3 linked regions of the Rhinolophus ferrumequinum genome follow. The protein of the gene in region 2 purifies or fractionates together with the protein of the main gene of each other region. This does not show direct contact. Links are inferred from orthologs where the notes say so. Each region holds a gene or a part of one and is shown on either strand. Other genes may lie near its edges. The genes, in order: AIFM1, NDUFS5 and NDUFAF1.

The links.
Region 1: the proteins of NDUFS5 (region 2) and AIFM1 purify together in Homo sapiens (affinity purification with mass spectrometry; 3 studies listed by BioGRID and IntAct, with this or other methods). This does not show direct contact. The link is inferred for Rhinolophus ferrumequinum from reciprocal best matches to the Homo sapiens genes NDUFS5 and AIFM1.
Region 3: the proteins of NDUFS5 (region 2) and NDUFAF1 purify together in Homo sapiens (co-immunoprecipitation; 3 studies listed by BioGRID and IntAct, with this or other methods). This does not show direct contact. The link is inferred for Rhinolophus ferrumequinum from reciprocal best matches to the Homo sapiens genes NDUFS5 and NDUFAF1.

What each region holds. Positions count from the first base shown.
Region 1 is NC_046284.1:25,858,300-25,869,627, reverse strand, and holds the start of AIFM1 (apoptosis-inducing factor 1, mitochondrial), read right to left. Parts: upstream 4,076-11,328; 5' UTR 3,891-4,075; coding exon 3,785-3,890; intron 1-3,784. Other genes in the region: RAB33A (ras-related protein Rab-33A), read left to right, coding at 9,247-9,516. UniProt on the Homo sapiens protein: Functions both as NADH oxidoreductase and as regulator of apoptosis.
Region 2 is NC_046292.1:27,320,352-27,330,928, reverse strand, and holds the start of NDUFS5 (NADH dehydrogenase [ubiquinone] iron-sulfur protein 5), read right to left. Parts: upstream 4,700-10,577; 5' UTR 4,542-4,699; intron 3,078-4,541; 5' UTR 3,076-3,077; coding exon 2,860-3,075; intron 1-2,859. UniProt on the Homo sapiens protein: Accessory subunit of the mitochondrial membrane respiratory chain NADH dehydrogenase (Complex I), that is believed not to be involved in catalysis. Complex I functions in the transfer of electrons from NADH to the respiratory chain.
Region 3 is NC_046289.1:63,889,886-63,900,846, forward strand, and holds the start of NDUFAF1 (complex I intermediate-associated protein 30, mitochondrial), read left to right. Parts: upstream 1-6,414; 5' UTR 6,415-6,805; intron 6,806-9,968; 5' UTR 9,969-10,139; intron 10,140-10,961. Other genes in the region: RNA polymerase-associated protein RTF1 homolog, read right to left, coding at 6,062-6,256. UniProt on the Homo sapiens protein: As part of the MCIA complex, involved in the assembly of the mitochondrial complex I.

The sequences.
Region 1 (11,328 bases), on a different chromosome or scaffold from region 2:
CCAATTGTAGTGATAATGACCAAACATTTTGAAGAATTCTTTGCAAAGTTTTAGCCAGCTCCCATTTATTTCAGGTTGCTTAACACTAAATCAGTAACCTCGAATACCACAGACTAGCATTAGAATAGTACCTAAATCATCACCAAGTTCTTTTCTGTAGATTTTATAATCTCTTGTTTTCCCATGTTCCCAGAAGGCCTTTTCCAGAAATACATCCACACAATTGAGGCACCTCGGTTGCTCAAATGGTAAGTGGTCTACATGTTCTTAAGTCTTGTCTTCTGAATGCCAAACTGATTTTTCTGACATGGATAAAATACAGGACAGAACAAGCCTAGATGATCTGTTCACTGTAGCTAGGTACCTCTTTATAAGGAATCCAACAACTACTAAGCTTTACCAGCCTTTTTTTTTTCTTTTGTATCAACCCTTGCTGGAATTTTAGAGAATCAGAGCAGTAATAACTGTAGTAGAGTGTGAACCACTGTGAAAAAAGGCACCAGAGGAAAAACGATTTAGATGATGAAAAAAATAAATTTAACTGTTCTGCAAAGTTCAGTCCTGTACAGTACAAGGACTCAGTCACTGAGAATTTACCATGTGCCAGAGACTGTGCAAAACACTGAGGACACAAAAATAAATAGGGCATAATCTCTGTTCCCAGGTAGTGTATAGTTTAGGAGGGGAGAATGGCTGCCACTATTCTGAGTATCAGAAAATGGGCTCAATACAAATCATAAGAGACTCAAGGTCACTCAATTTGTTTTTTTAATCCTTAGGTCAGTGGAACAGAAGCAAAAGAGTCATTATTCATTCAAAACAGTATTTCCCAAACTTGCCTGATCACATGAACTACATCAAGGGGCTTGTTAAAATATAAAAACATATAAATTCCCAGATCTCTGTCTTGGAGATTCTCATTCAGTAGGTTTGGGGGAGGCCCTCCACTCGATTTATATGACCAGGCAACTTTTGGAAACATGATCTAGAAGAAAGTTACAATATGCAGCAACTCCCGTAAAATGGTAAAAAAAAAAAAAAAATATATAACATTAACTGGTCTAGAAAAGGCTGACTTGCTAAAAATTTTCTTCTGGAAAAGTTTGCCTCAGCAGAAAGAGTGGGGAAAGGCTAATCTTCTTGGCTTTTTAAAAAAAAAAAAAAAAAAAAAGAAAGAAAAAGCGTCATTTGGCAGTGTCCATGAATTCTGGATCTTTGCCCACAAGTAGTCCCATTTCCTATTTCCTATTTAAGGAGGTGAGAAGGATTTTGAATCGAGAAAAATGTTCCAACATTTGACCCTCAGGTCAGGGGTCAGTGATCAGCTTGATCACATGGGCAGCACGATGTTTGGTGACCAAATAAAATACTACAGAACAGAAAATACCTATTACCTAACCTATCTGTTCCTCAGTGCTGAATGCAGACATAAAGTGGTGACTATTAATTACCTTCAACTATTTCTGGAAAGAGGCAGAGCATCGAAATACAGTAAATAAACAAATAGTAGCAATTATGGTTTAAAAGCAAAAGGCAACATACCATGTTTCCTCGAAAATAAGACCTAGCTGGACAATCAGCTCTCATGCGTCTTTTGGAGCAAAAATTAATATAAGGCCCAGTCTTATGTTAGGTAAGATCCGGTCTTATATTATGTTAGATGAGAACCGGTCTTATATTATAGTAAAATAAGACTGAGTCTTATATTAATTTTTACTCCAAAAGACACATTAGAGCTGATTGTCCGGCTAGTTCTTATTTTGGGGGAAACACGGTATTATGGAAATGAACCTGACAGTGATGACAGATGTGGATGAGATCATTTCAAGGTAGGTTTAAAGTCAGCTAACATTCTGGCAAAGAATTGAGGGGGAAGAAGAAAAAAAGGAGGGAAATGGTATATAAACAAACAATGCAAAAACATATGGTAGATGTGATTATGTGAAAAAGAAATCAGATTAAAAGCAATTAGTAATCAAGCTGCAAAACGGGGTAAATTCCTAAAATGATAGAATCATTTCTTTTTGAAATTGTTACCTCAGTCCCACCTACTTCTAAAGGCATGTGATGTTATACTCTGGTGCTTGGCCAAAGGACAAAAAATAAGTGTATATAAAGGGATGAAAAGAGAGGTCAAGAAGTCAGAATATACTCTACAGCAGACTACCTTCGTACAAAGTCATGTAATGGAAAAAACCTGTTTTGAGTCTGTAATTTTTCAGTACTAGTTCCAATATCACCAACCACCTTCAAATGTCTAACAAATCAATTTAACTTTGGAAATCCAAATTTAATTGATGAGAACTTTCGGTCAGATTTCAGAATGCTGGTACAAGTTGTGAGTTTTAAGCAAAATAAGTACACAAAGTTTGAAAGGTCAGTGTGGATGAAAATCTTCAGCTTACCTAAGTTTCTATGTAAATTTCTGTGCAACGTGCATAGAGCACCCTCATTTCATTGCACAAAGCCCACACAGATGACGTTATAGACGGGGTATTCGTTTAAAAGGTAAGGCAGAGGTTTTTAAGTTCCAAGAGCAATATGTCTTAGGACATACCTCCAATACACCCATCAGAAAACATTTTCTTGAGGCACAGTAACTGGAAAAACTGTTCAAATGCACGTTTTCAAAGGTAACAATCTAAGTGAAATGTTTTCCACTTTTTCATTTTTAAAGCACCCAGAAGGTGGTTCCACATTGTAAAGGCCTCAAGGATAACTTCTGACACTGAAAATGTGAGTGTCCTCGGGTGGTCAAACATTACTGATTTAAAAACAAACAAACAAACAAAAACACAAAAAAACACACCTCCTTCGGGTGGATAATTCCTTACCCCCATGAAGTTGTGCAGGTTGAAAATGAGCATGCTCAAGATAAATTCAGATATCTGATGAGCAATAGGCTAAAGAGGAACCAGACTCATTCTTAACCTTTCGAGATCAAACTTTAGGAAGCAGTGTGGAGTTGTGGCAATTGGATTAGGGGCATAAAGACTGGCAAATTATCCTTTGCCATACCTATTAATTAGGTACATGACTGTGGACAAGTAATTTCACCTCTCTGCCTCAGTTTATTACCTATAAACTGAATGGGTTGAACTTTACTGCAAAACTACTTCCAGCTCTAAAATTTGATGAAACAACTTCATGGAGAGCAAATACAATGTGTTCTGCAAACTGTTTATTTGAAGTATTAAAGACCACTAAGATTAAAACTGACCAGACATCCCAAATTAATTCTGGGTCAGTTCTCCTGGTGACTGGTGCACAACCAATTGACTCCTTACTTGCACTTCACTGTTTCTGTTTCCCGGGGCATTCACAGGGTCCTCAAATCTATGGATCTCATCTGGGGATTGGAAGGTAGGGCAAGTAATACCCCTTATTTACAGAATAAACTAAAGCGTGGGGCTTAAGTGTCCCATTTAAAGTCTCACAACCGGTAAATGGCAAGTCCACCTAACCTCATTGATTGAAAAAGGCGGACCTGGGGTGACCTGGAGGTGGCAATGGACACTACTAGACAGCCAGCTGTTCTGTTATCCCTGAACAGCAAACCCTCTCAGGAAAAGGCCTCAAGCCGACTACAGGGTTCAATTCCCTTGAAGGTCAGGTCAGCACGGCTTGGAAAACTCATGGTTTGGATCTGGCCAACTCAAAATTCTCACCACTGTGTCTTAAGCTTTTCTTGGGGGGGGGGGGTGTGAGCTGCGAGGCATACGGAGCCTGTGCAGCCCAGACCCTTGGTCTTCGAGGTGGGGGTTGTCCCGGATGGGTCAGTCACCTGGGAGCCGGTTCCTCTGCCTCGGGCCTGGCACGCACACTGTCCGCACCAAGGGTGCCAGCCTCTGCTTCAAAGCACCCGTCGCCAGGCCTCCACACCGGAACATTTCGGCAACCGCTACTCCGTACCTCCTCCTTCCTTTCTTCTCACGCACCGACACACGGGTCAAACGCCGTGGGCCCCCGGCCGCTTCCCCTGCTCCCGTCACACGCACTCTACGAAGGCTCCTCCTCCCAGCTTGGCGTGGGCATTGGACAGTTAAGCCGGCCTACTAGTGCAGAGGAAAAGGAAGCGCGACCGGAGGCCTACTGCGCAGGCGTAGTACTCAGCGCCACATTGTGATTGGCCCACACGGAGAGAAGATTTGCGCATGCGCCTAGCTTCCTGCACCCTTGCAAAGTCCCTGGGCTTGCTTGTTAGTTTTCACGGGTTGGTGGCAGTATGTTCGGCTCAGCGACTTTGAAAAGCTGTCCAAGGAGGGACCCGTGGGGCTGATTTGCCTGGCTGTTTGTGGCGAGTGCTGCCGCTGTGTCGATGTTGGGAACTGATATTAATAGCACCTCAAAAAGCGTGGCCTCAGCACCAAATTTTGTTTTTCTGTTTTAGGCCACTAGCTACTACTAAGTACTAAGCCTTCCGGATTCTCTCTCTAGCTGTAGTCCACTTCCAGTCTTTCCATAGATTTGAGCCGGGGCTCCTGGCTTTCCAGATTCGGATTGGACTTCCGTCTTTTACAAATTGCCTTCCCATCCAACCCCTATTCTGGGCACTTTACCACTATTCTGGGGCATGTCTTCATTCCGCGCTCTCTTTTCCCATACCGCTTTTATATTGTGTAATTCTGAGTCCTAAGTGCTGTATCAGATGCTGTGGATAGTCTCTTGCTATTTTATTATGACTTCGTTTTTTGAGAGCAGGTGCTGGCAAAAAGCGTTCGTGCTTCACAGACTTTCTGCGAGAGAAAGCCTAAGCAGGACTTTCAGAGTTGTGGGAGGAGTAGGGTGCGGGGCTGAGTGTAAATAGGGGTTTTGGCTATCAAATATAAGCTAAATTGGAAATAAATTTTGGCTGTATGCAAAACATAACATATGCCTTTTTCAAAGTTTTGGTTTACATACTCACTTAACAAGTATTTATTGAGCACTTGCCATTTGGACTATATGAAAAGAGCTCTAGGGGATACGAAAAATATAGGAAGTGGTCACTGTCCAGGTGGGGAGATGACATACACTGGTCATTTTAAATAATAATATCTGATGTAGTGCAAGAGCAAGAAAAAAGAATATGAGATGAAATAGCTAAGGAAGGACTTCAAGCAAGAAGTATTACTTGAGCCTGTCTTGAAGGATGAGTAGTGAAATTCAAATAATGGAGGAGGAGAAATGATATTTCAGATGGTGAATACATTGGGACCGAAGGTAATATTTTTAGTGATTAAACACCATTGATTTTGGATCCAGTCTGCCCCAGGTTGAATCCTGGCTCTGCCACTTGGACAAGTCACTTAACGGTGTCTCACTTTCCTCATCTACCAATCTCACAGGGTTGATAAGAAAATTAAATGAGCTAATATTCATAAATAAAGCATCTTAGAGGAAGCACCATGCTGTTTAAATCAAAAGGCTTGGAAGTATAAAAGAAACAAAACCCAGCTCATTTTCAGGAGACAATGGCAGAGAGTACATACTAGGAAGTAAATGAGGACAGGTTAATATGGTGGAGCCAGATTTGAACTAGCCAAAGTGTTTGGCCGCAATCGTGTAGGTGATGACATTATTTTTGGCTTTCAGTAGAATAGGGATAGAGAACGAAATTACTAAGGCATTTCAGGAAGTTTAACCCAGAAAGCAGTCTTTACTCGGTGAAAATGATCCAGGGATCCCTTGCTCATTAAGAGTAATGTTCAGAAGTGCAGGCAGTGGGCAACTTTTCCCCTAGGGCTGCATTGGGGAATAAATATTGAAAATGTCAATTCCACAATAAGGTAAAAAAAATATTTATATTTAGTATTTTAAAAGTTTCACAGATGTTGATATTTCTTGCTATTTCTAAAAGCCAATAATAAACATGGATTGATTAAATAAAAAGTTAATCATATCTGTTGGTGGATGAGGCTTTGGAAAACACTGTCAAAATTATGATGATAAGGTACCTATGAAAACAACTGGGTAAATTTGAAAGACAGTCAATTGTGCATTTAATGATGCACAATTAACAAAGAAAAGGCATTGTACAGCACTTTTAACTTATTTTTGCAATAGGTGCAATGAGGTAGATTTCTTGTCCTTTTAATTAAAAATTATATTTCATCTTTTTTTGTAAAAGCAATATACACACATCAAAAACTAACTCCAAAAATATAAGTGGAAGTTCCCCAAAATCTCATCCCACAGAGGTAACAAACACTTTTTATTAGGAAATGGGGCCCACTTTGAGATATCAAGTCTCCAGAAATTAGTGTTTCTATCTTACAAATATAATGTGAACTCTCAGACTCAGTGATGAGTTTTTTGCTGGAAGCATATGCGGTCTGACAATTAAGTTCGCGAACTCATCCTAGAAAAAGTGCTACATACCTCATTGCTGAATATCACTATGGTCACCTTCGAAGTACTCCCCGTGGGAAGCTATGCACCCGACACCAGCGTCTAGTCCACCCTTCAAAGCAATTTTGGAACTCATTTTCTAGAATGGCCATCAGAGCTGTCCTCGTATTACCCTTGATGTCCTGAATGTCATCAAAATGTCTTCCTTTCCATATTTCCTTTATCTTTGGGTAAAAAAAGTAGTCATTGGGGGCCAGATCAGGTAAGTAGAGAGGGTGTTCCAATACAGTGATTTGTTTACTAGCTAAAAACTCCCTCATAGACAGTGTGCTGTGAGCTGGTGCATTGTGGTGATGTAAGAGCCTTGAGTTGTTGGCGAAAAGTTCAGGTTGTCTAACTTTTTCACGCAGCCTTTTCAGCACTTCCCGATAGTAAACTTGGTTAACTGTCCAGCTGGTACAAATTCATAATGTATTCATAAATAAAATAAAAAAATGTTAGCAACATCGTTGCAATAAGTTCACAAACTTAATTGTAAACCTAGTACATCTAAATAATCTTATGTGAATATAGTTTTTTTATATTAGAAAGTTAGCATTAAGTCTGGCTATAAATTGGCAAAGCTTCTTTCCGCTCTACCTGTTGGATATGCCTAATTCATAGTTACCTGCCCCCCTTTTAATAGCTGCTCTTCTGTAGATAATGATTACCAGGAGCATTAGCTTCAAATACAGACGACAATGATGCTGCAAACTATTATCTAGACATCAACCAATCATAAAAAACAAAAATACTGTACAATGGTGATTGCCATTCCCACTGTATAATGATAATTGGTATTCATAATGATGACCTTGGATTATCCAACTAAGATTAAATCCTTCTTGAGATGGTTTTAATATTGAATAGCATGATCTAGGGTTTTAGAAATGGGTAACCCACATATATGCTAAAAGAGTTAGCTATAAATATATCTGCTAACTCAACTAAAAAGCTTACCCTGTTTCCCCGAAAATAAGACTTAGTCAGACAATCAGCTCTAATGCGTCCTTTGGAGCAAAAATTAAAATAGGTCTTATGTTAATTTTTGCTCCAAAAGACACATTAGAGCTGATTGTCCGAGTAGGTCTTATTTTCGGGGAAACACTGTATAACTAGAAGACCCCATTTCCCCAGCCATTCTGAGTAACTTGGACTGGGCTGAGCAGTCATATTCCACTTTGTTTACAGACCTATCACTGATGCACTGAATTGTTTTTCTCACAGTGGGAATGGATTTAGTTATGTTTGTCTCTTCTGCAGCTGAGCCCCACACAAGTAAGATGGCAGCTCATGTGTCTTGCTGGAGTCCCTGACCTTGATGACATTAGCAAATAACTCATGTCAGTGCTACTGGCATATGTTAATATTACCTTAGCCTATGAAATATGTGGAAGGATGGTTCAAGTCTTAAAGCAAACACGAAAGTGGTGCACTTTATTGTGTGGAAATTGTACCTCAGTCAAGTTATTTTAAAGAAATTGTGAACCTGCAAATCACATTTGGGAAAGGGAATACTGGTCTTGACCAAGATGTGTGATGCTTAATAAGCTTGGGGAAGCTGCTCCCCACTACCAGAAGAAAGTTCTGTTCATTTATCATTTTCCAAGCATAATTTAGGCTTTTAACAAATTAGACCCAACCACTTTGTTCTACATTCAGTTGCAGAGGGGTGAACCCTCCTAGGGGTTTCCAATTCCTTTTGAAACTCCACCATTCTGGAAGGACTTATGATTACATGGAGGGCTCTGGAATGCAAGACGCTGTGAGATTTATGCCTTGTCCCAAGAGCCCTCCACCTGGGCTTGGAATGGTTAGCCCCAGAAACAAAGTCCCCTTTTGCTGGAGCTGCCACCACTAGCTTCCCCGCTTCTCCTACCCCCTGTATGGCTCCCTCCGGTGGCCGGCCTTCCCCATTGGCCAGTCAAACACAACTGACTGCCGCAGCCAATGGGAGCCGCTCTTCTGAACATTCAGAAGATGGGTGTTCCTGGTGTGATGAGGGAAGGTTGGCGCCTGGCACGCACCCCCCCACACACACATCTGGCAAGTCTGTGAGAGAAACAGTAACTCCCCCTACACATGCACACCGGTGCCCTGCAGCGTGTATTGGCGGCGCCCTCCCTGGCTCCTCGCGCGCGCGAGTGCACCTGCTTCCTCAATAAAACAGAGCATCCCTTTATCCCAAGGCTTGGGAGGAAGCTGCAGAGGCTCAGCTCAGCTGCCTGCAGCTCTGGAGGTGTCTCCTCCCCGCACCCAGTCCCCGCCGAGTAAAGTGGTGTTGCTCCGAGGCTGAAATGCTCCAGAGCGGACCCCCGTGCGCTCCGAGAAAATGGGGGTGGGGAGCCTGAGATCTATAAAATAAATGGGGTCATGGAGAAAGGAGGACCATCCCGGGGTGGTGTGTGCCGCTCTCCCCACCCTCCTTTCCTCTGTAAGCTTCCTCTTTGTGGTGTGTCCCTGGGGTCCAGACAGGGGAGGGTCTAGGCCAAGGCGCCACGGCAGCTGCAGCGGTGGAGGCGGGGTCGCACGCCCCACCCGCCCCTCCGAGGGCAAGGCTGAAGGAGAGGGCTCGTGCCTTGCAGTCTCTCTTCCATCTCTCCTCCCCTGACTGGCTTTTGTGTTGGTGCCTCCGAGCTGCGAGGAGGGTGCACTGGAGGAGGAGGAGGAGGAGGAAGAGGAGGAGGGGGACCTGGGGTGAAAGGCACCCCACGCGCGCGCGCGCGCACGGGGACGGCGCACGCACACACGCGCGGACACACTCACGGACACGCACACACACGCACAAAGCTCGCTCGCCTGGAGCGCACTAACGTGGCCGTTTTCTTTGTGTGGAGCCCACCAGGAGGGTTGGGGCCCCGGTCCGGTCCCTGGGAGATGGCGCAGCCCATCCTGGGCCATGGGAGCCTGCAGCCCACCTCGGCAGCTAGCCTGGCATCCCTGGAGCTTGACTCGTCGCTGGACCAGTACGTGCAGATTCGCATCTTCAAAATCATCGTTATTGGTGACTCCAACGTGGGCAAGACCTGCCTGACCTTCCGCTTCTGTGGGGGGACCTTCCCGGACAAGACTGAGGCCACCATCGGTGTGGACTTCAGGGAGAAGACCGTAGAAATCGAGGGCGAGAAGATCAAGGTGATCCAGACGGTCAGGTCCGGGAAGGGAGGGCTCTGGGAGGGGTCCTCGCCTGACGCATGCTCTAGTGGTTGTGAACGGTCTGGTCAGGTTCGTGGCTGCGTCGCTGCTTGCTGAGCCCTAGACCCTCAGCACCTCCTCATCCTCTTTCGCCTTTCTCAGCGGCCTGGTTCCCACCTTGCCCGTTTTTTTTTAGGGCAGGCCGGAGAGGGTGCATTCATGCCCTCTGTCCCTGCCTGACAGCTCCTGCCAGGAAAAGCATGTGAGATCCCATCCTTGACCCTGAGCCAGGAGCAGCGGCACCTGTGGGCAGAGGGAGGTATGAGGTAACCTGGTCCTGCTCTGTGGGGTGGATCCCAAAGCACTTTACACATCTTGAGGTCTCTTCTTCCTCTTGGGTGCCAATAGGGTGCAAAAACCCACTTTGGTTAAGCCCTGAGACATTACAGGGGAGGAAAGAATGGAAATCCACAGAGAATTACAGTTTATGGCTAAGATTATGGCTGAGCTGGAATAGGGGTGGAGTGGGGTGGTTCTGGCACAAAGTCATGAGCCCTTTTAAAGAAATTGAGACAGGGTCACCTGCCAGCCCTCCATAATAGACAAAACTTATTCTTTTGGAACAGTCCCCCTCAAATGATATCTTCTTTATTTGTCTGGGGTACCTAATGCCATTATTCATTCTATTGGTATTGTCTTCAGCAGGCCTTTGTAAAAATGCAGAGCAACTTCTCTGAGGGCCAAGGGAAGTAAGTGTCTTGCTCCTACCCTCTCGTTAGTTTGTGAGATCAGCTAAGTACAGATATTCTTGTCTGACCATTTGTACTCACTTTCAGTTCATCAACAGTGCAAACTCGATAGGACCAGGATATTTCAATGTGCAGAGGCTAGCGGGAGGGGGGACATGACAAGGGCAGCTTAATGTGTCAGGGGAACAGAGAGAGGCAGGGTTATGGGCAGGAAAGTCACTTCAAAAGACAGGGCACTAAAGACCAACTCCACTAGACCCACAACAGGCCTTTTCTTGAGCCTATGGTCAGACCCTGTCCTGCAAAGGTAAACCTCCCTCCTGCTGGTCAAACAGCTCAAATGACCACAGGCGTGAGGTGGAGAGAAGGGCTGAGTAACTGGGGAGAATGTGGAACATTGTAAACTGTACAGACTCCTTGATTATTAAAATGAACATGTTTTAAAATGGCTTCAGAAACCTGGCCAAGGCACTAGATATGTCAGGAAGATGGGCATTGCAGTACTGGTAAGGGAAAGTTCTCGAGAACAACGAAACCCCAGGGTCAGGAATATAGGACACTGTTTTGAAATAGTGATATTTCTTGCCTCTTACATTTTGGGGGGAATTCCTACATTTTCTTTTTAAAGTCAAAGTAAGTATCTGTCTTTTCTCCTTTCCCAGGGTTTTATGTTGACATTTCCTTGGTTAGAACTTTCTCTAGGGTGTCTAGCTTCTTTACGTAAAGTTGTAAGATTCTGGAATTTCTAAAGCATCCAAAGTAGAAATATACTTACGGCTGTGCTCTTAAGCACTCAAGACCCTTAAAATTTAATGCTATTGCCTGTTTAAAATCAAGTTTCACATTGAGCCAAACAGCTCTCTGGATTTAAGAGGGGAAATGAGTCCACCTGAAATGTACAGGGAGGAAAAAGGAAGTGTTTGGGAGTCTGGGGGAGAAGGAAGCTAGAAACTGGACAATGGGAGGTGAAAAACGAGTGGAAGAGGGTCATCACCCAGTGACCTCAGGGGAATTTTTAAAAGGTTCCTTCCCTTCCAACAGCCCAGTACCTAGCCAAACTGGATTTTGTAGTCTC
Region 2 (10,577 bases):
AGAAAAGTATTTTAACTAGGGGGAGATATGCACCAGAAAGTGAGGGCTGGAGGAACTGAAGGGAAACCGCTTTCATTTTTAAACTGTAGAAGCTTTTCATCTTAGCGGGCCTCTGAGATGAAGGCCGTCTTTAAAGAATTAACTTGAAATCACTTCCTAAGCTTTTAACAAATAAATTTCTGGTGTATATAATATCTCCTTGAAATGTAATAACTAAAATGTTCCAATTATATATAAGAATACAAGTATTTACAAAAACAGTAACAAAAAGATACAGGTTAAAAACCTTTAAGATGCATACTTGTGCATACTAAAATCTTTGAAAATATTAAAAGCTGAGATCATCTCACAGCGTATATATTCCTCGTGACTGTTCAATAGTATGAATGAAGCAGAAATAGCCAATGTAAGGTCTCTTTTATCTCACTGAAATACCGTGTCTCCGCGAAAATAAGACCTAGCCAGACAACCAACTTTAATGCGACTTTTGGAGCAAAAATTAATATAAGACCCGGTCTTATATTACATTATATTATATAAGACCCGGTCTTATATATAGTATAATAACATACTTATAATAAAATAAGACCGGGTCTTATATAAGACCGGGTCTTAAGTCTCTGCTCAAATGTGTTGTCGCTTGTCTTCTTTGACCACCCTATTTAAAAGAGCATCTACTTAGCTCCCACGCCCCGTACTTCCTATCCTTTTCCTGTTGCTTTTCCCCATTGCACTTGTCAACATCTGACACACTATTTTTTAACCTGTTTGTTAATTTTCTGCACCCCACCCTACACCCATATAAATTCCATCAGGGCAGGAACTTTTTGCTGTTTTTCTTACTGGTATACTCCTGGTACCTAGAATAGTTCCTGATAATAATAGGTGATTCAATTAACATTTTTTTTTAGTGAATGACTAAGTTTTCACAAAAACATGAAGAGCTAGTGTATTCAGTTAAATATTCCATTAACCTTAAAGAATTAGGATATAACTTCCGAAGAAAAAACTCCAGATATCCTAAATACTAACATAAACATTTACTATTTTTAAAAGACTGCATTCTTAACTTTTCTCTATTAAAAAGTTTCCCAACAGAGGAATAGTCATGGTTGAGATATCACAACACCATATATCAAATCTTTCTCCAAACTAGAACTAATCACCACTTAATGTTACATTATAGGTATATATGCACAGGCTCTGGAGCCAGCATTGCCAGGTTCAAATCCCAGTTCCACCACTTACTAGCTAGAAGACCTTAGGCAATGGCATTAATTTTTCCTTGCCTTAAGTTTTTATAATAGTTGTATATGGGGAAAATAATAGTAAAATATCTCACAGGATTGTTGTGAGAAATAAATACATTATTACATGCTAGGCACTTAGAGTGGCGGTTGATTCTAATTCCCCGATTTCACTAGCTTCTTCACCGATGGAGAATTATCTAGTCATTTAGAGTGACCTCTAAAACAGTAACATTTCTATTCATAAATTCACAGGATGAGGAAACGACCTTGGAACAACTCCTTAATATTTCCAAATAAGGAAACCAAGACAAAGAAGTGATTTGTCCAAAGTCGCAAAACTAGTAGTGGCAAAACTGGCATCAAAAGCCAGCTCTCCTAACTCCCAATCCAAAGTTCTTTCCACCTCACCACACTGCCTCCTCACAGGATGAGGAAACGACCTTGGAACAACTCCTTAATATTTCCAAATAAGGAAACCAAGACAAAGAAGTGATTTGTCCAAAGTCGCAAAACTAGTAGTGGCAAAACTGGCATCAAAAGCCAGCTCTCCTAACTCCCAATCCAAAGTTCTTTCCACCTCACCACACTGCCTCCTCTTGGTGTGAATTTCCCATCATGAGTAAAGTCTTAATCTGAGCAAGGAATAACGGGCTCACAAGAAGAGAAGTTAAAACATGTCGTGGACTAAATAGCCGGTAGGTGGCCAGCCATGACCGACTTGTCCTATGAGATACATTATACTATATTACTCACTTAATGGTCAATATTCCAGTAGCAATCAATACAAAAGTATTACCTGGCACCCTCTCCTTCCTTCCAAGTTTGGCTTCACTTTATCCAAATGCCAAGAGCAGATGTTAAAAGATAAGAAATTTTAAATTTTGATATAGATAACTTTGTGATAAATTTAACTGATAATCTAAATTGTCTCCCTTAACTCCAAGGAATTAGGAGTAATAAAAACATTTCTATTTGTTTTTCTGGTGCAGAGAAACAGGCAAAACGACACCCCACACCCAAAAATGACTTCTCTAAGGGAGAATAGGGCCCCATATGTTAGACAACTCACTCAACTCTTGAAGAGGTAGACACCATGCTCTTAACATTCTCTTCCCCCTGCATTTTTGGTTAGACTCGCCTAAGGCAATCTAATCTCATTAATAACTAAGATTGTTATGTCAGGTTCAATGTAAATAGACCTGTAGGGTTTTAATGTCTTCCTCAAAAGGGTTCAATGACTCTGAAAGATTTTTACCCAAAGATTTTCAAGGACAAACATCCCACACTGGTTGATATTTTTTGCTTTATGGCCGACTGCAAAAACAGAAACAGACACACATATGTAATTTCTTGCCTGATGGCTAAAGCAAGGTACAATGCTAAGGAAAATATGTGAGAAGATGAGGAAGAACACTGAGCAACAACAGGTTCTCCTCACAACTAAAGGCACTTAACTTCCTTGACAAGGTACCTACTTAGAGGTGTTTTACCACAAGTCTTGCCAATTCACATTGGGCAAGTCACTGCCCAATGACCAACTAAAAACACTGAAAAGTAGCCCCAAAGAAATAAGGAAGTAATTCAGCTCCCATCTCCATCACTTCCTCACCGTTTTCTGCCGAAGCAGACATTCTACAAAATCATCATACTCTAACTTGCACTCTTTCTCTGCGCGGATAACACCAATTCCATGTGAACATTCTATCCATTCTTTTTCAAAAGCATGGCACCGAGATGAAAGCTTGTGTGGCTGCTCAGCACTCTGGATTGTCATCCAGCGGTCTAAGTCAACACCCAGCCTTTTCTGTATATCAAAGAAAGGCATGGCTGAAATGGAAAATAAGAAAGATAATGTCATAAAAGTGCAGTCAAATAAGAAATTTCCAAGAAAAAATGAGATGATTATAATTTGCCCTCTAGAAAGATATTTTACATTATTCTCCGAATTTCTTCTCACCAAACTTTTTCATTAGACAGCTTCTTCCAGTTTATGGTAGAGGAACAATTTTGTGCTTTCACAAAACCCAAGGAAAAGAGAACCAGAACTTAAAAACAATGCATAAAAATCCTCTCTATACTGATAAAGTCATTTTTATCAAAAGTCAAAAAGAACGTTTATGTTTTGACTCAATAATACCAATTCTTAGAGACAGATCTGAAGAAATAACTGAAAAGAACAAAAATAGCATAAGCACAGAAACATTTCTTTCCATATTTCTATCCATATCACTTAGATGACACCTCTCCTGAGAAGTCATCCCTCCTGTATGTTAGCACATCATTCTCAACTTCCCATGGGAGTATTTCGCACTCCACTGTAATGGACTATTTACTTGAATGTTTCCCACACTGAACAATGTGAGGGCAGGGACCAGGTAGGGATTCAGTAATTATTGAAAAATATTAATTTCAAACAACTTAAACGTGCAACAATGGATAGTTAAATCCAGTACCTACTTTGTAGAATATGACAGCTATTGGGGTAAAAGGATAATATACATTTTTAATGTCACATGAAGAAAAGGACTACAAAAGTAAAGAAAAACTGCAAAAGACTGGGAGGAAGCACACAAAAAATGCCAATAATTACGTATGAATGGTAGATTTACAGGTGAATTTCACTTTTAAACTTTCTACCATTCGTTCAGTCATTTACTGAGTAATAACGTTCCTGGCACTGGAATGGAGAGAAAGAAGCAGTTGCAAAGTACCGGAATAAAGATACACAGCGAATTAGGAACCCGAAGGAAGGAACACGACGGGGTTTAAGAGCTCAAAGGAGGAAACACCAACTCTGCCCAGGAAACTTGAAAATGCCTTTTAAGATGGCTTAAATTTGCCTAGTAAGCAAAGTATTTGCCCAGTAGGGCACAGCACGAGTTACAGCAGGAGGTGCTGGGTACGTTTGGGGAATAATGACCCAGACTTGGCTGGAGCGCAGAGTGCATGTCGAGAAGAACGAAATGAGCTGAAGCTGTGGGCAGGGCCGAAATCACGCAGGGCCTTGAAAGCCGGGTTAAGGAGCGTGGGCTTCAGGTTAAGTAACAGAAGGCCAAAGCATTAGACTGGCAGAAATCGAAATTAGCCTGGAAAGAGAACCGAGAAAGGTGCGGTCTACAGGCTTCGGTGACATTGGCTGTGTGGGCAAAGGGGCCTGGGAAAACGGAAAACACGGCCAGAGTTCGGGCCGGGGAGAACGGACGCCCAGCAATCCAAGAGGAAATTTGTTAAAGAAATCTCGGAAGGAAGCTCCTTAAGCTGCATTGCCCCGCGGACAAACGCAAGCCTTACCGTCCAGCCGCGGTGCCCTAGTCTCCTCGCCGGCCGCCGCTACTGGATGATCTGCTTGCGACACGGAGACTTGCCGCAAAGGACGCCCGCAGCGCGACACTTGCAGCGCGACGCCGGGAGTAGACCTTCCTTTTGCCGCCTCGCCCCGGAAACCATAGGGAACTAAACCCATCGGTCTGCGCTTGCGCGACTGTGTGCGCTGACCTCTGGAGTATTGACCGTAGATAAACTGACCTTCTTCTCCGCGTTAGAGGCGGCCTAGCCGTTAGTGAGTTCCTGTTGCCTCCTCGCACTGTACCTAGCACTCTCACAACTTTGATTCATGAAGGACGTGACCAAGTCCATACGAGAGAAAAAAGTGTCCCCCCCGCCCCTCCAGTAGTGGTTAATCTCATGGACTGTGGACCCACGCCGGGTGGGTTCAAATTATGGCTTCGCCACTTCTGGGTGATCCTGGGAAAGTTTAACCTCACTGTGCCTCAGTTTCCTCATCTTAAGATTTTAAAAGATAATAATAGTACCTACAGCCGAAGGTTGCTTTTGGGGATTAAATGTTATGTGTAAAGCACCAAGACGGTTCCTGGAATGTGGAAAGCATGAGGCAGTGGCCGTACTTTGATGTCTCAGCTTCAACAGTTTGCGGATTGGTTAAAGTGACCCTCCTGTTTCAGCACCTCCAGTGCTTCCCTTTGACTACAGCGGGGCCAAGTGGTGTGTGTGTGTGTGTGTGCGCGCGCGCGCGCGCGCGCGCGCACCATTGGGTGTGACAATACACACTGGGCATATGGGAAGAAAATACTAGAATATTTCTATTTTTTATCCAATCTTAATTTCTACTTTTTGTGTGGTTTATAAAGTACATAACATCACCGCAGTTGTATTTAATAAATATTTATTTGAGGTTTGGGATGAAAATTTATTTTCCTTTTAAGTGATGTGCTCTCAAAAACGTTTAGAGAAGTCCACTCTTCCAACTTCCCAGGCTCACTGTCCAAAATCCCGACTAATGCCCAAACAAGAGCTTGTTCCAATGTATTCCAAGAAAAGTCCTGCCATCCAGTCTCTTTGATTTTTTAATTCCTTTCCCAGGGAACCACACCATTTCAACCCTATCTCCATTTTTGCCTGCCAAATTATCTGCATAGGTTTGGCCCAAAGGGGTTAACTGCCCCCGAAGTCCCAGAATCACCCACTCTGAAGAGTATTTCTAAGGTCCCACAACTTACTGATTTCGCTCAAGCATTCCAATTTTCTCTTCCGTTCTCCGTTAGATATACCCCACCTTTGATAAGTTTCAGTTCAACTAGAATTTCCTGAGCATCTAATGCATGTCCAGCAGAACACTGGAGGCTTATGGAATTGCTAACTCAAGGCCCTAGCCCACAAAATACTAGAGGTAGCAAGGTATTGATCACAACCACCCTTTGCACTTCTCCCACTTTCTTGCTTATGTTCGAGGTACCATCTTCCCAGCCATTCAGGCAGGAAACTCGGTGAAGTTGTATTTTACCTTTTCCTCATCTTTCATCCAATATTTACTGACCAAGTTCTCTCAAATATTCCTTCAACAGTTTCTAATTTATTTCCTTTCTGCCTCCCAGCTCCTCACTTCAGTCTGGTTTGCACTAACTAATCTTCCTAAAATACTAATTTCATTGTATCACTCCTCAGATACCAGGCAGGATAGGTAAGTACAAAGATGGGCCACTCAGATGCCTCCAAAGGCCAAACAGAGCTCACTATAAGGAAATGAAAACAAAAGCACCATGATAAATGGCAACTGGTACTTGGCATCAGTTTGATGGATGGAAGGAGTGGTGGGGAATGTGATAAAATGGGCATATGTCCTCGAAGGCAGCAGCAGCTACTCAGCTCCATACTATTACTGTTGACAGAATCAGGGCCCCAAAGTGTCAAATCTTCAGATTTTTCAAAAGAAGCCAGAAATCTTTTGTTACTGTTTAAATGTGAGACCTCCCACTTTTAAAATGTGACGCAACTAATTTTTTGAAAAGTGCTGGCCAAACAAAACCCACATTGGAAACGGCCTTTGAGCTGCCCAATTTCAACCCTTGGATGGAAGGAAAATTGGAGGTAGGGGAAGCAATTTACTGTGAACTCTGATGGCTTTTTACATCCAGCCTTGCTCCCTTCTTACCCACTCTATTGTTGCGGGTTGCTTTTCTAAAACTCACATCTGATCATTCCAAAAACACTCAGTTTTTATCACACTCCATGACCCTTGGCGATGAAGACACAGTCAGAATACTGTTGGAAGTGATAAAATACAGACGAACAAAACAAGGGAAAACACAAAGAAGGGGGTCATTTATACTGCTCAGGTTGTGTGTAAGGTGTCAGTGTATCCAAGGAAAGGTCCCCGTTCTTGGGTTTGGAATTCAAGACCCTTCATAATCTGATTTCTGCCCATTTCTGAATCCTTAGATCCCATTGCTTACCAGTCCCTATTTAACCTCCGTGTGTTCTCAGCCATCCAGAATTGCTCTCATGCTTCCAAACTCTGTAGGTGCAGGTTTTTCTGCCTGGAATGATCCCGCCAGTTCGCTGCCACCTCCCCACAGTCTCCAAGGTGAATGTCTAATCCGTGGACTATTTATCACATTTTCTGGTTAAAGCTTCCCGAATTTCACAGGCATTTACTAGGGCTTTCTTGAGGTCCTGCCCGCCCTGTAAGTTTCTATTATATTCTGTTGCTACACCGATCATGCGTCGAGTCCCATGTCAGCACTGGTGTGACGGATGTGGGGGACAGGTCTTTCTCTACCGCAAATAGTGGGCAACAATTCCCAGAGACCCATGCCAGACTGAGTCTGCGCCGTTGCCATAGTGACTACGGGCGGAGGGGGGGCACACACTAGGATTGGCCCACTGGGATTTTGCTTACCTCTCAACCTTAAGGGCGTGTTGTCCCCTCTGCACCTCCCACCCCCGTTTACCTTTACTTTGCAGATCCTTTGATTTGCGGAAGTGTGATTTCACAACAAAATTAAAGGACTTTATGCGCTAAGAGGCAAGGCTGAGCTGTTGCTTCTTCCACTCTGTATTCGGGAAAACCGAGGCTCCGAGACCTGGTGGAACCTGACTAGGTGAGCTGTTCTTCCCAAATAGCCATCTTCCCATCTTCAAAGCACAAGGTGGCTGGAAGACCTAACTGAAGGCCCCCATTCCCATCCCTCTGAACACTAGCCTCAAGGGCTGCGTGAGCACAAGTTGTGGACAGTCACAGGCTGTCTAAAGTCCCCCTAGGTCTCCATTCATGGGGCTTCTGTCCTTGACCTATAGGATTTCCTTATGTTTGCATACCTCTTACTACAATTTAGCACACTGGGAACTTTAGGCCTGTATCTGACACCACTGCCACATAGATTTTAATAAACTAGCACATTTGGGGAAGACAGTAAGTTTGGACACTTCCCTCAACCTTCACCTCCAAGCCTGGAGCTGTAAGACAGAGGCAATAAAGCCAATAAGCAAAGTAACCTGAAAAAGTAATGGGTCTCAAGGCCTAGAATGTAATGGAAACCAGAGTGATCATTTAAACTAAAAAAAGAACATGGGGGCGGGTGGGTGGCTCAGTTGGTTAGAGCCCAAGCTCTGGGCTACAGGGCTGCCGGTTCGATTCCCACATAGGCAAGCGAGCTGCGCCCTCTGAAACTAGAATGAAGTCAATTAGTTGCCTTTGAGCTCCTGGATGGCTCAGTTGATTGGAGCACAGGCTCTCAACTAACAAGGTTGCCGGTTCGACTCCCACAAGGAATGGTGGGCTGTGTCCCCTGCAACTAATGGCAACTGGACCTGAGTTGCACCCTCCACAACTAAGATTGAAAGGATAACAACTTGACAATTGAAAGGACAACTTGACTTGGATGGAGCTGATGAGTCCTGGGAAAAACACACTATTCCACCCCACACGCCCCCACCCCACTCCCACAAAAAAGTCCTGGAAATACACATGTTCCCCAATAAAGTCCTGTTCCCCATACCCAATAAAATCTTAAAAAAAAAAAAAAAGTTGCTGAAAAGACAAAAAGTGCCATTTGGAGGTGGAGAAATGTCAAGTTGAAGATGCAACAGAACCAGGAACCACTGAAGCAAACTGAAGTGGGGAGGAAGGCTGTGCCAGGCTCATAGTGGCAGTTAACCCCCCTCATTCTGATACGTGGAGGTGCCTCTTGACTTTAATTAGGTGTCCCAAGTGGTACGGTTACATGAAGAGAACATGCTGTTAAGGCCAGTGGGGCAGTCTACTGCAGCTGATACATTTCTCATACATTAACACATTGGAGTCTGGTTTTATAGGTCAATAGCTTTATTAGTGAGTCAGTCTTCCTGAGTACAGATCAGGGTAATTAAACTACCTGGAGGGAACCTGCCAGGGCAGCTGAGTAGCCTTCCCCAGGAAACACCCTGCTCGCTCGCTCTCCAGATGCACAGAACACTTATCAAAGCAAGTTTTATCACATTTCTGCCCATAGACTTTGAACTTCTCTAGGGTAAGGACTGCATCTCTCTTACCCTGGTTAGACAACTTGCAGAAGCCTTAAAATTACTTGATCTGAGAGTTAAGGGAAAGAGTTTCAAGTAGTGCACTGATGACTGGAAAAGGAGAAGAGTAGCCACATAATTCATTTAGTCACTCATCATTTAGGAACCAACAGAGAGACAGATAATAGCTCAAATATTGTGTATAGTATCATCTTCCACTATGAAGATGCACAGTATAGTGGAATAATCATATAGACATATAAATGCTTTACACAGCTTTTTAAGAAAGGCATAATATGAAGTACTGTGTAAATACTGCACCTCCTCAGAAAGCTTTCTTACAATTTAGGCATCTAGTTACTCCCTATCATTACAATTTTTTTTACAGTACTTTTAAATCTTGGATTAACCTATTTACTAGTTTGCTTGTCTTACCTCACAAGAATGTAAGTACCACAAGAGCAGGGACCTTGTCTGTCCAGCTCAGTGGTATGGTCCTAAAGCCCACAACAGTATGTGGCAAATAGTATGTCTCAATACACATTTATCAAATGAATAGGTAACTCTGCCTTGAAGGGACAAAGGATTTAATTCCAGGCAGAGGAACAATAGGAGCACCATGAAAAGTGATGGGTTGAATTGGCAAAGACAAACCAAACCAAAAGAAAAAGAATCTTTGAAAGTGTGCCTATGGGAAGAGGGAAGCTGAAACTAGAAAGATTCTTCAATGGCCATGCTCTTCTTAGCCAGGGCCATGTTTAATCATCCTTTCCAATCAATGTACAGGCTGGACAAAGCAGCTCTTTACTGGTCAACTTGTCACCAGTTTGGTACTTGCCCTTCTTATCCCTGCATTAGTTTCCCCAAAACTGTCCAGATTCCTACAAAGGACCAAATTCCTAGCAGTCAACGCCCTTCATTATCTAGCCCCTACTAACTAGTTTCAAGTTCTGTTTCCAGGATACATGAGTTTTCTACTCTGGCTAAACAAGAATGTCATCCCTGCACACCATGATTTGCCACTACCCAGACTTTGCTCATGTCAAGCCCCGGTTCCTACCTTTCCGGAGCCCTATCCATCCTCTGAAACTTCACTTCAACTCTACCTCCCTGAATGAAGCCTTCCCTGATCACTTACTATGGCTCCTTAGAACCACCTCTTTCCCTTGGTCCATGACCAGTTCCCATTCACATACTTACAGACTTTTACCTTGCCTGCTTATATATTCCTTGTTAGACTGAGGCCCCTTTTCTCAGGGGTCAAAATCCAACCGACCAAGTATTTAATTCCAAGTCAGGTACTGGGAATATAACACAGAACAGACTTGGGGTACTTACAGAACTTGTCAGGCTTTTAAAACTCAAGTATCTGTCCTCCAAAAATCAAAACAGTAATGCCTGAATGACTGAAAAGCACTCAAAGCCAGTATGAACATGTCTTTCCCAACTGAGCTCCCATTAAAACGAAGGTCTACGGGGCCAGCCCAGTAGCTCAGGTGGTTGGAGCTCCGTGCTCCAAACTCCGAAGGC
Region 3 (10,961 bases), on a different chromosome or scaffold from region 2:
CAGAGGTGGGAGGACTGAAGAGCTGCTGAGGAAAAGTGCAGTAATTCACGGGGGTTTAAATATGAGGTGTTAATTCCTATTCTTTCACACCAAAACTGTTGGTAGAAGTCCATGACTCCAACAGTGGACATTAGTCAGTTTTCAGGAGTAAGGAATGGAACCAATGTATACGTGGTTTTGAGGGGACAAAGAGGTATTTCTGTTTTTTGTAGGGACTGTTTCAATAAGAATGTACTGTTTTTATAATATAAAAAAAGAAAAATCAAAACAATGAGCATAAACATGAAAATCCTTCTAAAGTAATAATCCCAAAGAGGCAGCATAACAATCCTTTACATTATTGGCACTAAATATGGCAACTTTCCCTTCAAGTTTCCAGCAAAATAATTATAGTTGTAGATAAAATACTGAGTTACATAAATGCCCATAATTTTACAGAATTGACAAAATAAAACCTGTTTTCAACCATCCAAAACAAAAGGTACATAAAAGTTTAAAGAAGTTCTACTGCTAACTTGTTTTTACTTAGTTCTCTCTCCCAATACACTTTCTAACTAATGCAGATTTCCATTCCTTAAAGGGAAATCATCATTATAGCAGAGGCCCTGCAGCAAGAACCCCCAAACTGACAATGGTCCTTATCTCTGTAGGTGATCCTTTTGTGACCAGGCTAGAAAACTTGGTAAGCAGCGTTTGCTAAGTAGCATCTGCTTATTCAACAAAGATTTATTAAGTGCCTACTGTGTGTCAGGCATGCATTATTTTCAACTACCTACCTGATGTCGCCACTTGGATTATCTCACAGACAACTTTAAACTCTACACATCTAATACTGAACTCAAGATTGTCACCTTTAAACCTGACCTTCCTCGAGGGCTCCCTCTTTCACGCCAGAACCTCCTCATCCTCACCCCAACTCCAATCAGTCATCAAGTCCTCTCAGTTATATATCCTGAATATTATGTCCAAATCTACTTTCTGTTGTCTCTGTAACTACCATACCGATTCACGTCAGGCATTCATTCAGCAAATACTGTGTGCTGCATGCCAGGCACGGTTCTAGGTGCAGAGATAGTACGGTGAACAAACAGCCCTTCCCTTCTGGAGCTTCCAATCTAGTGGAGCTTATGCTGTCAACCTTCTCTCACCTGGACTCTTCTATCCATCCGCCACCTAACTGGTGTCCCCCTCCAGATTACTACCCACATAGCAGCCTGAGCAAACTTGTTAAAAGGCAAATCTTAACACCTCTTCCAGCTCAAAATCCTTCAATGGTTTCTCATTGCTCTCGGAATGAAGTCTAAAGTCCTTACAATTGCCAACATGGCCCTGCCTGTGGTTCTGAACCTTTTAACCTCCGGAGACAGTAAGCTCAATTATACCTCATGACTCAGTGTACATGTACATGCATATACATGAAACACCAATTTCACAAAACAATACTTACTATGAGGTCTGACACACTTGATGCTTTCTATTTGATTCAATTTCATTTCTATTTTTAATGCTGGCTGTGATCCACTAAACTCAAAGGGTCCAAACAGACTACTTCTGCAGCTTCATTTGCACCACTCTCTCTCCAATTAGTTATATTTTCATCACTGCTTCTTTCAGTTTCATGCGGGTGCTAAGTCCTTCCTGCCTCAATATTTCTGTACATGCTGGTCCCTCAACCATGAACACTCAACACTTCCCTGGACTCTTCGATCTCTGGCTCTCCTTTTCCCTGACACGTATTCCATGTCTCAGTTCACATGTCACTCCCAAAGGCTCGTATATAATAGGATGCCACACTCAGTATCCTGGCTCTTCCTTCACACAGTCTGTAGTGAAATGACCCTCTGAGCAATGCTGGCCCCTGCTCCGCCCTCCTCTCATGCCCCTCCTTTATTTCCCTCTAAACTCCCTGAAGGTGGAAACTGTTTCTACTTTGTTCACAGGAGCCCTAGTGCCTGGCACTGTGTAACACATTTGTTGGAAGAGAAACAATCTCTGCCCTTGGGGAACTTACAGTCTAGGAGGGGAGCAGTAAGTACACCAACAGAACTGGTGTCAGAAGATGGGTTTTGAATTTTTCCTAAGAGATTCTCTGTTAAAGCTCCCCTGAGACTCAATCTTCTCGGCACTATTTTCAAAGAAAAGTTGAGTGAAATTACCAAGTGAGTTACATCAAGTTAGATGAAACATTATGACACAAACTAAAAACTTCACAAGCCAACCCTGATATTTCTCACAAGTTCGCCCTAAACTTTACTGTAAAAAAGACTGTGTTAATGAGAAACACAATTTTAAATTTCCCAACTTGAATGGGGAAGGTTTATGGAAGGATACTTTGTAACAATGATACTTTTTTACATGTAATATCTAAAAATAATTCCTAAAAAGTACTTAGGGGGCCTATTCTCTCAAAGATAAATTTAACCATTGCCACTTCAAGTAGGATGAGCAGAGAAAAACAGGACATGACAACATAAGCATCATTTAAAATAAGAAAAGAAATAAACTCAAGTAATCCAATATGTATGTAGCTCAATTTTTTTCCTTGAAAAAGGCAGAGTAAAGTTTTCATAAATACTGAACTTTATCACTCTGAATAGAGAACTCTGATTCCTTTATTATCTTGGATGCTTTTCATTTTCTAGAACCCACTGCATAAATATTATTTCATAAAGAGTGACACATATTATCTCCATGGAGGCACATGATGGGGTAAAAAGCCTAGGTTTCCCTCAAATTCTGTTTTGTTTTTTTCCAAGAGGTGCCAAAGGCAAGTATCTTCATGATTTGCAATTTTAAAATGTTGAAGAAAGGGTGTGGCCAACATAAAAAGTAAAGTCACTATCAGGTCACATGTTAAAAGAAATTCTTCGAATTCTCAAAGGTTTGAGCTTTTAAAAGCACCGAAAGTTAAAACAGATTTTAAACAACTCTGATTTAGTTACTACATACCTCTTCCCATCAAGAAGCAAGGCAAAAAAAAAATACAAAAAACAGGCCTCAATAAAAAGCATCCAACAATTCAAACAGCTTCAGAGATCTAGAAGAACCACCAGCTTTGCCACCTTAAACATCTCTGTTAATTTCTTTCAGTTATACCTGCACACACTTCAAGACACGAAGTTATTTCTCTCCCAAACTACTTAAGAGTGTCCTGCTAAAAAGATCAGCATCAGAGGTGGTCTCAAGCATTAACATAATAAGTACCTGGGCTGTACCTGGTAAAAATGCAGAGTCCAGGGCTCTATCCCCTGAGGATCTGATTCAGTAGGTCTGGGATGGGAGCCCCTGCAAAGTACATTTTAAATAAGCAACCCAGGTAGCTTCTCACACAGGTGGCCCTCCTCCCACCACCAGAAAAAAACCACTGTAGAAGACTCACCTGCCTCACCTTCAGCAAGGACTAAGTTGATGATAATACTTCTGACATAATGGCTTAGATTCCCATCGGGAAAACCCAGGGATAAAGGACCTCCTATGTTCCACTCTCACCCTAGACACTCAGAGAGTTGTCATGGTTTGTTCTTTTCCCCAAGTACAATACACTAGACAACAAATACGATGCTATAATCCCAAATGAAGACCTAGAACTAGATGGAGCAGTCCAAGGCACCTTGGTCAGGAAAGGCCCAGAATGCATTCGTTTTGTTCTCAGGATTCTTAAAGACCCCCAAAGCAGGCTGACTGAACTTCTGCTAAAGATTTCTAGTGAAAACTTCTAGAGGGCAGAGATTTTTCTCTGATTCCTCTGACAGCCTGGCACAGTGTTGAACAGACAGGTAGATTGAAGGCACTCTGTTAAGATGTGCAGGGAAAGAGAATTTTGATCTGGTTCCCATCTGATAAAAGAATGACAATGAGTGGTTGAAGAGGAGGAAGTTGAAATTGCTGTTAAAATGTATTAGGTATTACTTACACATTTCATGCTAATTTCTTTTTACAAATAGAGTTGGGTTTAAAGTTGCAATCCCCTCCAATTCTTAACTTTGGAAAAGCTCTTTGTGGATCTCTCTACCACAAAAGGAAGCTCTCAACTCATTTCATTTGTCAGAATTCTGTGGAAAATCACTAAGGACAGAATAATCTGCTTATTTCATTCATCATCAGAACCGACATCTTGACAGTGCTTTACCAAGAAAGCCCCCCAAATAATCTTTATAATTGATGTACCAATTTTCTCTAAACTATTCAATGTACTTTACAAACATGAATTCTAGCAACACGGAAAATGGCCATAATACACATTCTCATTTTGCAATATGAAAAAGTAAAAGACTAACAGATTAATTGGAAAGAGTACATACGCCTTGTTGTTGTGCAGATTTGGGTTCAAATTCCAACTCTACCAATTACAAGTTGTGTAAATTTGATAAGTTACTTCTTCAATCTCCATTTTCCTCATATATAAAATGGGGAAAATCATACTTAACTTCATAATTTGAAAACTTGACAATTTAAATAAAGCACCTAATTAAGTGACTAGTTCACCCTAGGCACTATGTAAATTGTAGCCGATGTCATTATCGGAAATAACTACATTTCTAGATCAGAAAATAGTCAAAAACAAAAAAGTTCTAATTCTCCTAAGTGTCAGTCTAAAATTATCAACCAAACTTTTACAGTCAAGAATATATATTTTTTATATTTTTGCAAATTTCAAGAGCCTTTCATTGAGAATATTTTTAACTTACCTTTCAATCGTATCCCCAAACAAGATTTCTATCCCTTTGATACTTCTCCAAAGGCCCCATGACTTCCCCACCCCATACCATCATTTTCAAAATAACCCTCTTCAACACACCTCCAGCCCCTCCTCTTAAAGTCCTCCCCTTCCATGCCCCAATATTTTAGTCTTAAGACCTCTGGCCTAATACAAATGACGCCCAGGAAGCCACTACACAAAAGCTTTATTTGCAACTGCTTGTACCAACATTCTTACGTACAAATACTTGATCCTAACGATAGCACAATTATTGATAGATATACAAGGCTAATGTTATACCTAGATTTTACAGTTACGACCAAAGATATAGCTAGAAAACAGCATAGCCCATCCTAAAACTCAAATTTTCAGATTCCAAGTTCAGTACTCTCCCTACGCAACTTACAAAGCTACTACTCTTGTATATTCTTTGTATCATTTGTTCACAAAACACAGGGGAAAACCCTTTTTTGCATCACTAGAGCATTACTACAAAGACAGCTTCCTCCCTACAGTGCTTTTCTAGAGTATATAAACAGTTCAAGCAACCCCCCCAGGACATTGAGACCAAAAGTTACTTTCTACACTTCCTGCACAATCTTCAAGTAAGAAAGAATTCTGGGATGCTGCATGAAAACGGCTAAGAGATCTTAGTCTCAGTCCTTCCATATCGCCCTATGTACTGCTCCACTTCTGACCTCTTTCCTTCTTCTAAGAGTTTTCTTCAGTCTGATATCTCATCAGGGACCCTTCTCAACCACGAACGACCCTAGTTGCCAAAAAGATTCGTGCCCGCAGCTAAGTCTTCCTCGCTAAGCACCGCAGAGGGTCTCCGGAACATTTACGAATGCCCCTCCTCTCCGTCCACACTCCTTGTCTGAAAAACTTCATCTTCCAGAGTCCGCACCTTCTCGTCACCTACCCCCCCCAAACCCCAAAGCCCCACGCTCACCCCTTGCACCTCCTCCAAAACCTCCCAGCCTCTCAGGTTGGCCGGCGATACTTCCTACCTTTCCCGGCCCGGATCGTTTGGCCTGCAGCCCGCCGCACCAATCTGGTCCCGGTAGATGACGGACCCTTCCGATCCCCCGAACCCGAACCCGAGGCCCACCAGCCAGGTCCCTGCCCCGCCTCCCCGCCCAAGGCGCCAAGTCCTCGGGGCTCAATCTCCAGGCCCCGGCGGGACTCCATGGGTCCCGGGAGATGCAGGGAGGATAGGAAGGAGGCAGCAGCGGCGGTCAGGGAACGGGGCTGGCTAGGCACTCGGGTCGGGAGGCCCCGGGCCCGGCCGGCTCCCGGTTCCCGTGGCCCGGACTCAGCCCTCCCGCTCCGCCGGCCCGCGCCTCCGCGGCCTGCCCTCACCTGATCCAGGTTCTCGTCGCTGCCGCTGTCCTCCGTATCGGAGTCGATCACCACGCGGCCTTTCCGCTTCTTCACCATGGTGGTCCCCCGGCTCCCACGCCGGACGCCGCCCGGACTCCCCTCTAGCCCGCCTGCCAGTGGGACCGCCACTGCCGCCGCCACCGCCGCTCGACCCACACAAAGGCGACCGCGCATGCGCGGTCCGCTCCGCCCCTGGCCCCGCCCCCTCCCGGCGCACGCCGTTCGCTGGCGCTCGGCGCCCCGCCCTGCTCCGCCCCCGACGCAGCGTGGGAGGCGGGGCCCAGCACCGGGCTGGGTTCCCGGTAGCGGACCACTTTCTCTTTCCCCGCGAGGGCCTCTGGAAGGCTTGGGTGTGTCTCTGCTGCGGGGCCGAAGCTTAGTGGGCTGCCTACCTATGTCTTGGACTGGAGACGTAAGCATCCGGGTCCGCTCTGAGGAGCTTTTCAACTGTCCGATACTGATGGAGTGTGGAGGACGACGAGAGCTGCCCTCCTGGAAGACACAAGTCGCCTAGACCGCCCCAAGGGATGGAGGATGGGAGAAGCTTTCGTATCTCGGTGGTGCAAGTGACAACTGAGCTGGGACTTGAAGAATGCATCTGAGTTACCCAAAAGAAAAGTAAAGGGAAAGTTGTACCAAGCAGAAAACCGCGTGGGCAAAGGCCCAGCGATAAAAGTTGGGTTCAGGGAACTGAAAGTTCATTATGGCGGAACAGATGACATGGTGTGTGGGGATAAGGCTGCGGAGGGACACGGTGGCCACATCATTCAGAGCCTAATAAGCTATATTAGAAAGTATTGAGAGATTTAAAACTGAAGAACATAATTAGATTTGTGTTTTAAAAAGATTACTCTGCCTGTAGTGTGGCAAACGCATTAGAAGGGGGGAAGACTAAGGGCAGGGAGACCATTGAGGCTGTTGGTGTCATTTTAACAAGAGATGATGGTGTCCTGAACTAAGGAAGAAGCAGTGGAAATAGAAGTGGATGGATAATTCGGAATGTAGAATTACCAGGACTTGGAGATTAGTTGGGAGAGGGATAAGGTGAGCTCCCAGACACAAATGACACTCAGATTCTGCCATAGGAAGCTGGTGGTCAGTGGGCCCTTGGCTGAGACAAAGAACACAGGTGGAGGAGAGGTTTAGGAAGTGGATGTATGTGGGAAATAAGTTCAGTTTTATGCCTGTTGAGCTTGAGGTCAGCTCATAAAAAGGGCAGCTCCAGAAGTGATTTCTCTCTGGGATTTGGAATACAGGGTAGAGAGCATAAGCAATAACAACTTGAAACTGTTCTCAAAACTTTGGAGTCCATTAATTCTTTATTCTGGTAATGAACTTGGGAGTTAGACCCCAGTCTCTCCTAGGCATTACTGGGCACAGGCGGGCTGATCTCAAATCAGGCCCAGAGTTCTTGGTCTCTGGCTCCTTTTTTCTTTTCCCCCTTTACTGTGTAAATTATATTTTCTCCAGCAGGTTTACAATACATATCACAAATGTGCATGCCTTAAAATAGTAATAAAAGAAAATATCGCATCATACATAGAGAAACTCCTGGGGAAATAAATACATACCTAGGTATCCAGTTCGCTACCAGTTATCTTGAATAGGTGTTCATCATTCAGGTAGAAAAAACAACCTAAATAAGGCGCAGCTATCTTTTTACTCCAAAGGAGTTTTCCTAAGATATAACCCCTAGACTTCTCTCCCAAAACAATATCCTTGGAACTGAGAACATGGCCAAGATGATCCAAAACGACCAGGCCAGCTCCCCCATTTCTAGCCACCCTGAAGCCGGGTGCCCTTCTGTGAGGCAGGGTCCTCCTTTTGATGACCTGATTATCTCTATTAATTGGTTCAGAGTCTGAAAACTGGGTCAGATCTGAGAGTGGACAAAGGATGATCACTTTTTATTGGGGCAACTGCCCTCAGCCCCCTGATCAGCCAACTTTGATTTCTCCTGATTCAAAGTTGGAGAGCACCCTTGGCTATCCATCTATTTTGTCCTTGGGGATGCTATGTTCTGTTAACCATCTCCATAATTCTCTGAGGGTCAGGCCTCCTTGGTTGTCTTTCTGAGCTCTCCACTCATAATAATTGCATCTACCTGGCTTCTGGCAGTTAAGTGCTGCCACCTGACCGCCTGTGTCAAGGTCCTGTCACCCCATGACTGTGGTTAGCTGAGTTTTGTAACAACTTCTACTGTCAGTCCTGTCCTACATAGGAGAACCACTACTGAACTTTCAGGGATGCCTGTGCACCTTTTACCTTCACATTCCTGATGGCCTTGGTAAATGGAATATCCTGTTGGTCTTCCCATGGAACAATCATTTGGGGGGATTTCTGATCTTATATAGTAGATCCACTTTGTACTTCTCAGCTTTTCAATCCCGTCCTACACCATGTGCTTTGGCAACTCTGGCTTTTTTTTTTTTTTAACTTCATGTGGGCTGTAGAGTTTTCCATGCTTTAAGAGTCATTCTAGTAGCAAATCTGCACCATTTCCTGGGTCCTCAGCAGAGTGATAATTTCTGTGGCCCAGGAGAGTGCTCCCAATCAATAAACACTCCTTAATCCAATTTTACAATTTGGTCCCCTTAATTAAGCACTCTCAGAATCCAGTGTTTTGCTACTCTTCCAGCTTTTGCTATTATGTGCTTAGCTAGTTCTTGCAGCACCTTTAGGGTATAGTCCCTTTCCTCCCTTATCAGGTTCAATCTGTCCCCCACTGGGTTATGTAATGTTTTAATACTAGTTATTGGCCTATCCAGGAGGGAGGTAAAGGCAGATGCGGTCTTATTTGGTACAGGCCTCTGCACTGTCTAATAGCAAGATGGGAGAGCTGCATGGTGAGCCATTTCTGCAGGTTCAGAGGGCTCAGGAGGGTGATCATTCAAGATCTTCAGTGGCATCAATCATAACCCCAACCCAAATGTCTGTCTGGTCCCATTATTTCCCAACTAGGGCCTTGGCTTAGATGACCTGCCTGGCTTGGAAGTAAAACCTTATTAGAGCTCAGACTATTCTGATCATTGTCCAGGGCCTCAGTTTCCCCTGCCATCCCACTGCAGGTGTTGAAGCCCTCTTCATATGCAATTAAGGAGGCCCTCCGGCTTTCATACTTGGCTTTCAGTAACAGTCAGCCAATTCTACTATCATAGTTCCTATGCCCCACCCCCATATTTTTAAAATACCATCCCACCAGCTGGTACCTTCCTTTCCACCAGCATACTATCCCTATTCACCAACAATGCAATATTTAACAACTGGACCATCAGATCTTCATTGCTAGCTGTGTGCTGGGTAACCCAGCTTCTAAACATTATTTTATTACCTCCTTTCTCAGACCACTCTTGTGGCAGGTTGGGTGCTCCAAGAAGCAGACTCTGAGATGGAGTTTAGTGTGCAGAATGCTTATCAGGGAGTGTCCATGGGGTTGACAACTGTGGAAGGGAGAGATAGTGCATACCTGACTACAGAGTCAACTGATCACGTGGGTACTCTGAAGCTAAAATAGATGGTCAGAGTTGTCCCACATTTGGGCTGAAATGGCCAGGCCTTTATAGCCCACATATTGGTGGGGGATGGATTGGGGTTTACCTGCCTGGAGTCCACTAAGATGAGTCAAAGGAAAAGAATATGTCTGTGTCCAGATATTTATTAAAGTGTCATTAAAAATATCTGGCCTCAACACTGCAGATAGAAATATCCCCAAATATGGGTATACAATTCATTTTGTTTAATGGAAAATCTGCTTGAACACTGCCAGCTCTAAGTAGTTGACCCTCATTACTTCCTAGTCTGGATTGCAGGGTGGGCTTCCCCATCAGGAGGGACTGTCCTGGATAAATGGCCTTGGATCTCAAATCAGGCCCATTTTCTCTTGTAGGTGAATGAATGGTCATTCTGGTTTGTCATGTCTCCTCCTGTAAAGTTGCTTGGCATGAATGAATCTGAGTAATCCTCTGAGTAAAACAGATACAATCAAGTTACTGGACTGACAGCAGAGAACTAACCCTGGATCTATAGTGACACCACCATGACCCCAAATTCCCATGAGGTAATTTCCTTTTCTGAAACCATTTATTTCCTTTGCCAGGATCATACCCTGATCATCCTTAAACTCTGAAGGGACTCCATCAAGATATGAAACTGCTGAATCATATTAGCTTCTTGCCTGAACTATTACAATATTCTTTGCTGGCCTGTATCACTACAGCCCTACCTAAAAGTTTGCATGAAATTGTCCTTTGTTCGGACTCTGGAGGCAGTCCCCATTCTGTGTCTAAATTTGTGCAGGTTATTGTAGAACGTATGTAGTTTAAAGGATATAATAAAATCAGTACCTTCAAGGTTTTTATCTTCCTGTTGAAGAGAAAAAGGCTTGTACACACAAAATGACGAATGAGCAGTTTAGTCATGTTTATAATCTAGTTTTCATTTGAACATAATTTAGTGTCAGTGTATAGCATAAAGAATAGATACTGGCTGTCAGAAGGAGAGTATCATTTGAGATGGATGTATTAGGGAAAGCTTTTAAGGAGAACATGGGATTTAAGGTGTGTTCTGAATAGGTGCAGTCAATGTATCAATTAGGACCTATTGGTTGCAAGTGATATAAACCCAACACAGGTTAATTGAGGAAAAAGGAATTTATTAGTGCTTGCAAGTTGAGGAAAGACTAAATAGCCAAGCCATAGAAAGACAATAGATGTTCCTGGGCCTCAGGAACAACTAGAATTGGTAATATAAAGGCTCACTTAACCTTCTTTTATCCTCCTATTCCTGGCTCTCAGAACCTTTATTTTATCTTGCCTCAAACCGGTTTTCTTCACTATATTAGTAGGTAGCCCAGGAGCTCCACAAGAGCCACCAGGGTTAA